Linked DNA regions of Ovis aries. The protein of the gene in region 2 interacts with the protein of the main gene of each other region in a biochemical or structural test. Links are inferred from orthologs where the notes say so. Each region holds a gene or a part of one and is shown on either strand. Other genes may lie near its edges. The genes, in order: RAB7A and CHM.

Region 1 (3,817 bases), on a different chromosome or scaffold from region 2:
CAGATACATACAAAACTCAGCCTGATCAGACTGGGTGTGAGCCTGTGATGGAGCGCAGGGCACCAGCCTTCCCACGTGGTGGCCTTCACAGGAGGGGGTGGGTAAAAAGACCACAAGACGGTTAAAAAAATCAGAACTAATTAGACACAGATTAACTGTAAACAGTTCTCTCTCCAGTGGATGAAAGGAAGAAGCTTCCAGCGCAGACTCCACCCAGGCGGGTGTGCGCCTCCGGCCTTGCTGCTGCCGCGGAGCCCGCGGGGCGGGCGGTGGGTCTGTGGGGCGTGTGCGGGGGTCGGCGGTGTGCTGGGCTCTCCGGGCAGCTGGGCGAGAGATGACTGTCTGTGGGAGGAGGGGCTCGTGGAGGAAGGCCTGCACCTGTGTTCTCGGTCGCGGAGGGCTGTGTGCTCTGCTCTCTGCCTCTTCAGCAGCTGCAGCTCTCGGCCGAGGCCTTGGGGCGGTCGTTCTTGTCCAGTTTGATGGGCTCGGGGAACTCGTTGTACAGCTCCACTTCCGTTTCCTGGGCAGGGAGAGAGGCGGTGACCGCGGGCCCGGGGTGGCTGCAAGTCCTGCGGTGTAGGGGGGCGGGCCCCACAGCGGAGGGGCCAGGCGGGCACCGAGGGACGCTGCGGGGCAGGGGCAAGAGGGACAGGCTGGCGCCCTCCACCTGCACGTGCCCGCTCTGGGAGCTTCTGCCAGTGCCTGACAAGGACAGGGTCTGGGGCCCCAGCCTCACAGACCCCGCGAGCTCGCCCTGCGCGCCCCTCTCTGGACCCAGGTCTGTTGTCTCTTCCAGGCCTTCAGGAGAGCTTGCCCCCAAGGCTGCACATGCCAGGCCCGCCCAGGACAACTCCCTCAGTGTGGGGCCCACAGGACAGGGCCTGGGGTCACTTCACGGGGACTTGGGCTGAATTAGCGTTTCCAGCGAGGGGCAGCTCCCTGCTTCCTAGGGAAGAGAATTCACCTGTGCCTTAGACGCGGAGCACCCGCGGGTCGAGGCCCTCTGGGGAAACCACTCCGGTCACAAGTGCTGTGCAAGCGGCCACGCCCAGGACTGCCTGTAGTTTAAGGCGGTCTCGCTCCCTGAGGGCTGAGCGTGTGCCCCTGCAGCCTGGTCTGCTCACAGGCCCAAGCCATCAGGCCCTTCCCGGCCCCGGAGGCGAGCCGGCTCCAGCAGCAGCGGCCTGTCCCGCCTATTGCTCCAAGCCCTGACCAGCGCTCATCTGCGTTCTGTCTTAATGGAGGCCTCAGCGAGATCGGACCTGTGGCCCCGAAACCGACAGGAAATAAGTGTGTCCTTGAGCCACGCGGCCTGTGGGCACTGTCCAGGGCCCGGTGCTGGCTGACACAGTTAGAACCTCAGGAAGGTTTATTTTTTGTGGGGGTAGGTGGTGGGGAGAGGACGGAGGAGGAAAAAGTTGCACCTGGAGTGAAAGTCTTAGTTCAAATGGATAATGAACCAAACAGAGCCAAGAGAAAAGCCTCGACTAGCGAGGGGAGAGGCCGTGAGGTCAGGACGGCCGTGCAGGGAGCACGTGGGCTGCAGGCGGGGCCCGGCGCAAGGAGAGCGCGACACGGGGGAGCGGGCTCCACAGACGGAATACACACCCACCGGCAGGTTCTTCACTGTGGCCAGAGAGGCTGAGAAGAAGGCCCACCACACACAGCTCAGCCCCACCTCTGCGCACGGCCGAGGCCCGGGCAAGGGCTGCAGGGGCCCCTCTGCAGAGCATGGGCGCTGCGCCAGCGACGCCACCGCGGTGCCGGGACTGAGGGTCACCACTGTCCCCAGGGACAGCCAGGGGCCCCCTTACCAGTCGGACAGTCTTCCTCCTGCGACTCGAGCTCTAGGGGCAGGAGTGTTTAGGGAGGAAAGCACTGCCCTGCTGCTGTGGGGTCAGAGGAGCCCTCACCCGGCACCGGCCAACAGGATGCCGCTGGTATGTGGTGGGGAGGGGGACCATCTGAATAAACACCACAAAGAAAACGCAGGAGAACCTTACCTAAGGAAGATGACTCCTAGAACCTTTTGGGTTAACCTTTATGAGGATTGTTTAGGATAATTCCCAAAGTTGGTGCACCTCACTGAATCTTCACAAACGCCCTGAAAGCGGGCAATCTCATTGTACAGCTCAGACAGGATTTAAAAACCAGACTAGATCCCAAGACGGGCAGCAGAGCTGTGCCTCAAACTCAAGTGTATCTTGAAACAGGAGGAGCACGCCGAGCAGGGCGGCCCCACACGAGGTGGCCTCGATGTGTGCCCCCATGGAGCTGACTTACAGACGGCGGGACGGGGCCGCTCTCAAAGGCCCGCCACCACCTCTGGCTGCACAGGAAGCCCGTGGGGAGAGAAGGTGCGGGCCAAGGCGGCCAGGCCAGGGCTCCGTCCCCGGACACCCACCTGCTTGAGCGCGTTCCGGGCGATCGTCTGGAAGGCCTGCTCCACGTTGATGGCCTCCTTGGCGCTGGTCTCAAAGTAGGGGATGTTGTTTTTGCTGTAGCACCAGGCCTGAGCCCGCTTGGTGGCCACCTGAAGGGGAGGCAGGGTGCAGGTGCCAGGAAGAGCAGGCATCCCAGCGGAAGAACCCCCAGGACCCCCGCCGGCCACCGCCCACCAGCCCCTCGCCAGCTAAGCTCAGTACAGTGGGGCTTTCCCCTCTCAGCCTCCGACCCCGAGCTGCACCTGGAGGCAGCTTGTGAAGGGCGGCGGCAGCCAGCTCGGGAGGAAGTGCCTCCCCTCCGGCCCAGGACAGGTCTCCAGCCCCTCCTGTGACCGCTCAGCACACCTGCCTGGACCCCTGGCCTGATCACACACCCAGGCCCCAGAGCCCCCAACCCAGCCACATCCTGTTTCCTGACTCCCCACCCGAGCCTGTTTTCAGGAACAAGAGAAGAACCAATTCACTTAGGAAAGAGCTGACTGGTCAAAAATAAACTCAGCTATGAGTGAGTGAATGAAGTCTGGTCAGTTGTGTCTGACTCTGCAATCCCATAGGCTGTAGCCTACCAGGCTCCTCCGTCCATGGGATTTTCCAGGCAAGAGTACTGGAGTGGGCTGCCATTTCCTTCTCCAGAGGACCTTCCCGACCCAGGGATTGAACCCGGGTCTCCCGCATTGTAAGCAGACGCTTTACCGTCTGAGCCACCAGGAAAACTCGGCTATGCTTGACGACATCTCTGTCTACACCGACATCTCTGTCTACACTCCCCAGAGATGCTACTGGAAAGGAAGCCAGAGCAGTTTTACTCAAAAGCCCAAAGCACCTCCCGCCCCGCGGGATCTGGGGGGGCCCCGCTGCGGGAGGACGACAGCTGATGGCAACCGAACCCTCCCCCAGGGTCAGAAGCAGAGGCGCCCACAAGCCCGAGTCACGGCTGTGCGGGTGGTGTGGGGGTCTCAGAGGGCCTCCTGGGCCCCAGTCCCCAGGGGCAGCCGGCCTGAAGATGGCGCCCCTGTGCACCCCCAGAGCCACGAGGTGCTCAGCACAGACCCTCCGTGTGCACAGGGTACCTCAGAACAGGCGGCCCAGGCGAGAGAGCAGGGCGCTGGGCAGGCCCTCTGGGGCCCCACGGCCAGGAGACCGAGGTCCCACGGGGCCCAGAGGTCAAGCCTGGACTGGAGCCAGGAGGGCTGGCAGGGGGCCACTCCACGGGGCGCTCCGACCCCGCACACCCACCCTGCTCTGCTCCCAGGGAGCCGGGCCCCACCCAAGGGTGGCCAGGGGCCCCCTTGTTAGTTCTACCCTTCCCTTGCAGGGGTCACAGGCAGACAGACAGATGGGTGACCCTCGGGGCACACGGCTCTTTACCAGTA
Region 2 (3,817 bases):
ATTAGGTGGAATAGATAGCTCAGAAACATGAGGAAGGACCAAGACAGTAGCCAACTCAGACCGAGGCAGAATCAGGCACAGAGACCTACATTAGGAAGAAACAATGAGTAGTAAAAAGATATATTTTCAAGCATCAGGTTCAAAAAGATCAGCAGGATGAGGATGTATGATTAGATCAGCAAAATATGAGGAGCATTACTTCCTTTCTTTATAACATGGAACTTCAAGAGAGCACATGAAATAAAAAAATCCTAGTCTGATATTATTCACTACCCTCTCCAACTTCTTTGCAATTTCTCATCATTTGCCCTCAACTTATGGTATTTGGTCTCTCTACTTTCACCCAGCCCTATATTATAACATTTTATAGCCACTATTTTATCTTACTAGTGTTTTCTATTCTTTTGCACTAAATTTGTCTTGCTTCCTATAAATCCAGTGCAACACTGCATGCTCCAAAGACTTGGGGACCACCTCTGAATTCATGTTGACTAACATTAGAGGTAAGAATGGGAATAAAAAAAAAAAAAAAAACTGAAGACAGTTGCATCCTTCCTAACCTCCCTGCCCAAATTACTATTAAATTATCTTCCAAAGCCCTCACATCTGAACCAATTATTTTTGAAATGTATCGGTTTATTCAAAATGTTCATCATTATACAGATGTCAAAATAGTTACTATATAAATAAGGGCTAAAAAGAAGTTTATTTAATAGATTGACTATAATAACATGGACCCATAATTAGATTCATTAGACATGTTTTCTTGATAGAATTCAAAGTGTCCATGTAGTAGGAGAATATTTGGGTGGAGTACATGCTCCAATACAGAAGTAACCGTGTGATACAGTACTGAGCATTGTTGTGTTTTTAACTTAGGTCTAAGGAATATTTTAATAGAACTATAAATTACAGATACTATCTCTTTATAAAATAAACACTCTACATTTCAAAGAATAAAATAATGAAAATTGGGTTTATGGACTCAGATGCTATATTCAATCAATTAGAAATTAGTACAGTTCCATGATAAGATGGGTAAAACTGTTACTTACCTTTGATACCAAATCGATATTAAACCTCCTGCCTTCTTTAATGATTTGAGAGTAAGTAATCCGATTTTTCTTTGGCTGTTCTGCTGTGTCTTCGGCCACAGGCACATTTTCACTTGTTTCCTTTTCTGCAGTTGAGGGCACACAAGTGTTATCATCACAATGGTTTTCTTTTTCCCCTGTCACTTGAACATCATTTACTTCTAGGGCTCTATCTGGATCACTGCTTGGAGTTTGTTCTGCCGGTATTTCACAGCTTGTAGTTCTTAATGACTCATCTTCTATAGGCAGGCAGGCAGAATCTGCAGCTTCAGTGCAGTTCACAGATGTCACAGAAGCGTGATTTTTCTGTAGTGCACCAGCTTCTTCCACATCTTCATGCAAATCCTGACTGATGAGAAATTATAATAATAATCCACACCAATAATCAAAGTGATAATTATACGTGGGTACATTTTTATATGTATCAATTTAACTTTTAATGGCAATTTTTATTTCTTTACCTCATTTATTTTATCAGATTCAGTGGATGTCTTGCTTTATGTGACATACACATTAAACATTCATCTGTTTAGGTTTTAAAACAATATGAAACATAATTAACGTCTGAAAAAATATACATAAAGATTTCAGGGTTTAGCAGGCATGTCGTGTGTGTGTGTGTGTGTGTGTGTGTGTGTGTATATCTGAAAAGCAGATTTTTATCTTTATAATTTATTTCTGTTTGTCTTGGGGTATCGTTGATTTACAATATTGTATCAATTTCAGGTGTACAACAAAGTGATTCAGTTATACATGTACATATATTCATTTCTTCAGATATTTTCTCCATATTACAGAATACTGAGTGCTATACAGTATGCATGTATATATTAATCACGTGTATTTTTTAAGAAGTTAAGGCAGACAGAGGAATTGCACTTTAGAAACAAATCAACACAGTGCTTACAAGCTCATCCTTCAGAATAAATAGATTGAGGTTCAAACCCAGACTCTATGACTAGATAACTCTGTGAATGTAGACAAGTTTTTTAATCCTCTCTGATGCAAATTATCCATCTATAACATAAAGATAATACCAACTACCTCACCAGGTTGTTCTGAAGACTAAATGAGGTAACACAAGTGAAGAATCTGGTACAGAGCCTGGCACATAAATGCTCAACAGTAAGTATCAAAGATTATTACCATTATATGAGGTGTGACAAAGCTAAAAAGCTGCTATAAAAGTGTACATTGACATATCACAATGTGGTATCTAACAGGATCTTTCTGAACTGATTCTCGCTGTTTTCAATATTAATGTCTATTACTTTATTGGAAGCCCCACTTTCAATATTACCACTAGACTTCACATTCTCAGTCCATTACTGCCTTGATCGACACAAAAAGTTCCTGTTCAGCATGCACCATTATCTCTCCATGATGTGTTTTATCCTCTACAGATCCTTCCTTTTCATTGAGTTGCGCTACTATTCAACACTAAAATTACCTCATACATGATAGGCTGTGGGAAATAACCATCTGCTAATTGATTGCTTGAGACCTAAGAGCAGTTCTTAAATCAAATCTCAACTCTACCCCTATAAAATCTTCCTCTATCAGTCTCTAAACAAAATCACCTTTTTTATTTACTAACTTTTGTCTCATCTCACCTACTTTCCAACATGGCATCTCTTAAATCATAATTTGTCAACTCAAAGTCTCCATAATTAGGCTCATGTTAACTGTTTCTTCAAGATTGCAGGGAGAAATATCAATAATCTCCAGTATGCAGATGACACCACCCTTATGGCAGAAACTGAAGAGGAACTAAACAGCCTCTTGATCAAAGTGAAAGAGGAGAGTAAAAAAAGCTGGCTTAAACTCAACATTCAAAAAACGAAGATCATGGCATCTGGTCCCATCACTTCATGGCAAATAGATGGGGAAACAATGGAAACAGCAAAAGACTATTTTCTTGTGCTCAAAAATCACTGCAAATGGTGACTTCAGCCATGAAATTAAGACACTTGCTCCTTGGAAGAGGAGCTATGACCAACCTAGACAGCATATTAAAAAGCAGAGACATTCCTTTGCCAACAAAGGTCCATCTAGACAAAGCTATGGTTTTTCCAGTAGTCACATATGGATGTGAGAGTTGGACCACAGAGAAGACTCAATGCCAAAAAATTGATGCTTTTGAACGGTGGTGTTGGAGAAGTCTTGAGAGTCCCTTGCACTGTAAAGAGATCAAACTTGTCAATCCTAAAGGAAATCAATCCTGAATATTCATTGGAAGGACTGATGCTGAGGCTGAAGCTCCAATACTTTCACCATCTGATGTGGAGAACTGACACAGTGGGAACAACCTTATCCTGGGAAAGACTGAAGGCAGGAGGAGAAGGGGACGACAGAGGATGAGATGGTAACAATAACCCTATAGCAAGACAGCAAAATAGACACAGATGTATAGAACAGTCTTTTGGACTCTGTGGGAGAGGGCGAGGGTGGGATGATTTGGTGGAATAGCGCTGAAACATGTATATTATCATATGTAAAATGGATCACCAGTCCAGGTTTGATGGATGATACAGGGTGCTTGGGGCTGGTGCACCATTATGACCCAGAGGGATGGGATGGGGAGGCAGGTGGGAGGGGGATTCAGCCACATGTACACCCGTGGCGGATTCATGTAAATGTATGGCAAAACCAACACAGTATTGTAAAGTAACAAAAAAATAAAAATAAAAAATAAAAAAAGAAAGAAAATACCATGCTACTTG

Evidence for each region.
Region 1: the proteins of CHM (region 2) and RAB7A are reported together in a solved structure, tested with the Homo sapiens proteins (2 studies listed by BioGRID, with this or other methods). The link is inferred for Ovis aries from reciprocal best matches to the Homo sapiens genes CHM and RAB7A.

Annotation. Positions count from the first base shown.
Region 1 is NC_056072.1:59,079,733-59,083,549, forward strand, and holds the end of RAB7A (ras-related protein Rab-7a), read right to left. Parts: intron 2,534-3,817; coding exon 2,405-2,533; intron 521-2,404; coding exon 425-520; downstream 1-424.
Region 2 is NC_056080.1:77,545,314-77,549,130, forward strand, and holds part of CHM (rab proteins geranylgeranyltransferase component A 1), read right to left. Parts: intron 1,444-3,817; coding exon 1,056-1,443; intron 1-1,055. UniProt on the Homo sapiens protein: Substrate-binding subunit of the Rab geranylgeranyltransferase (GGTase) complex.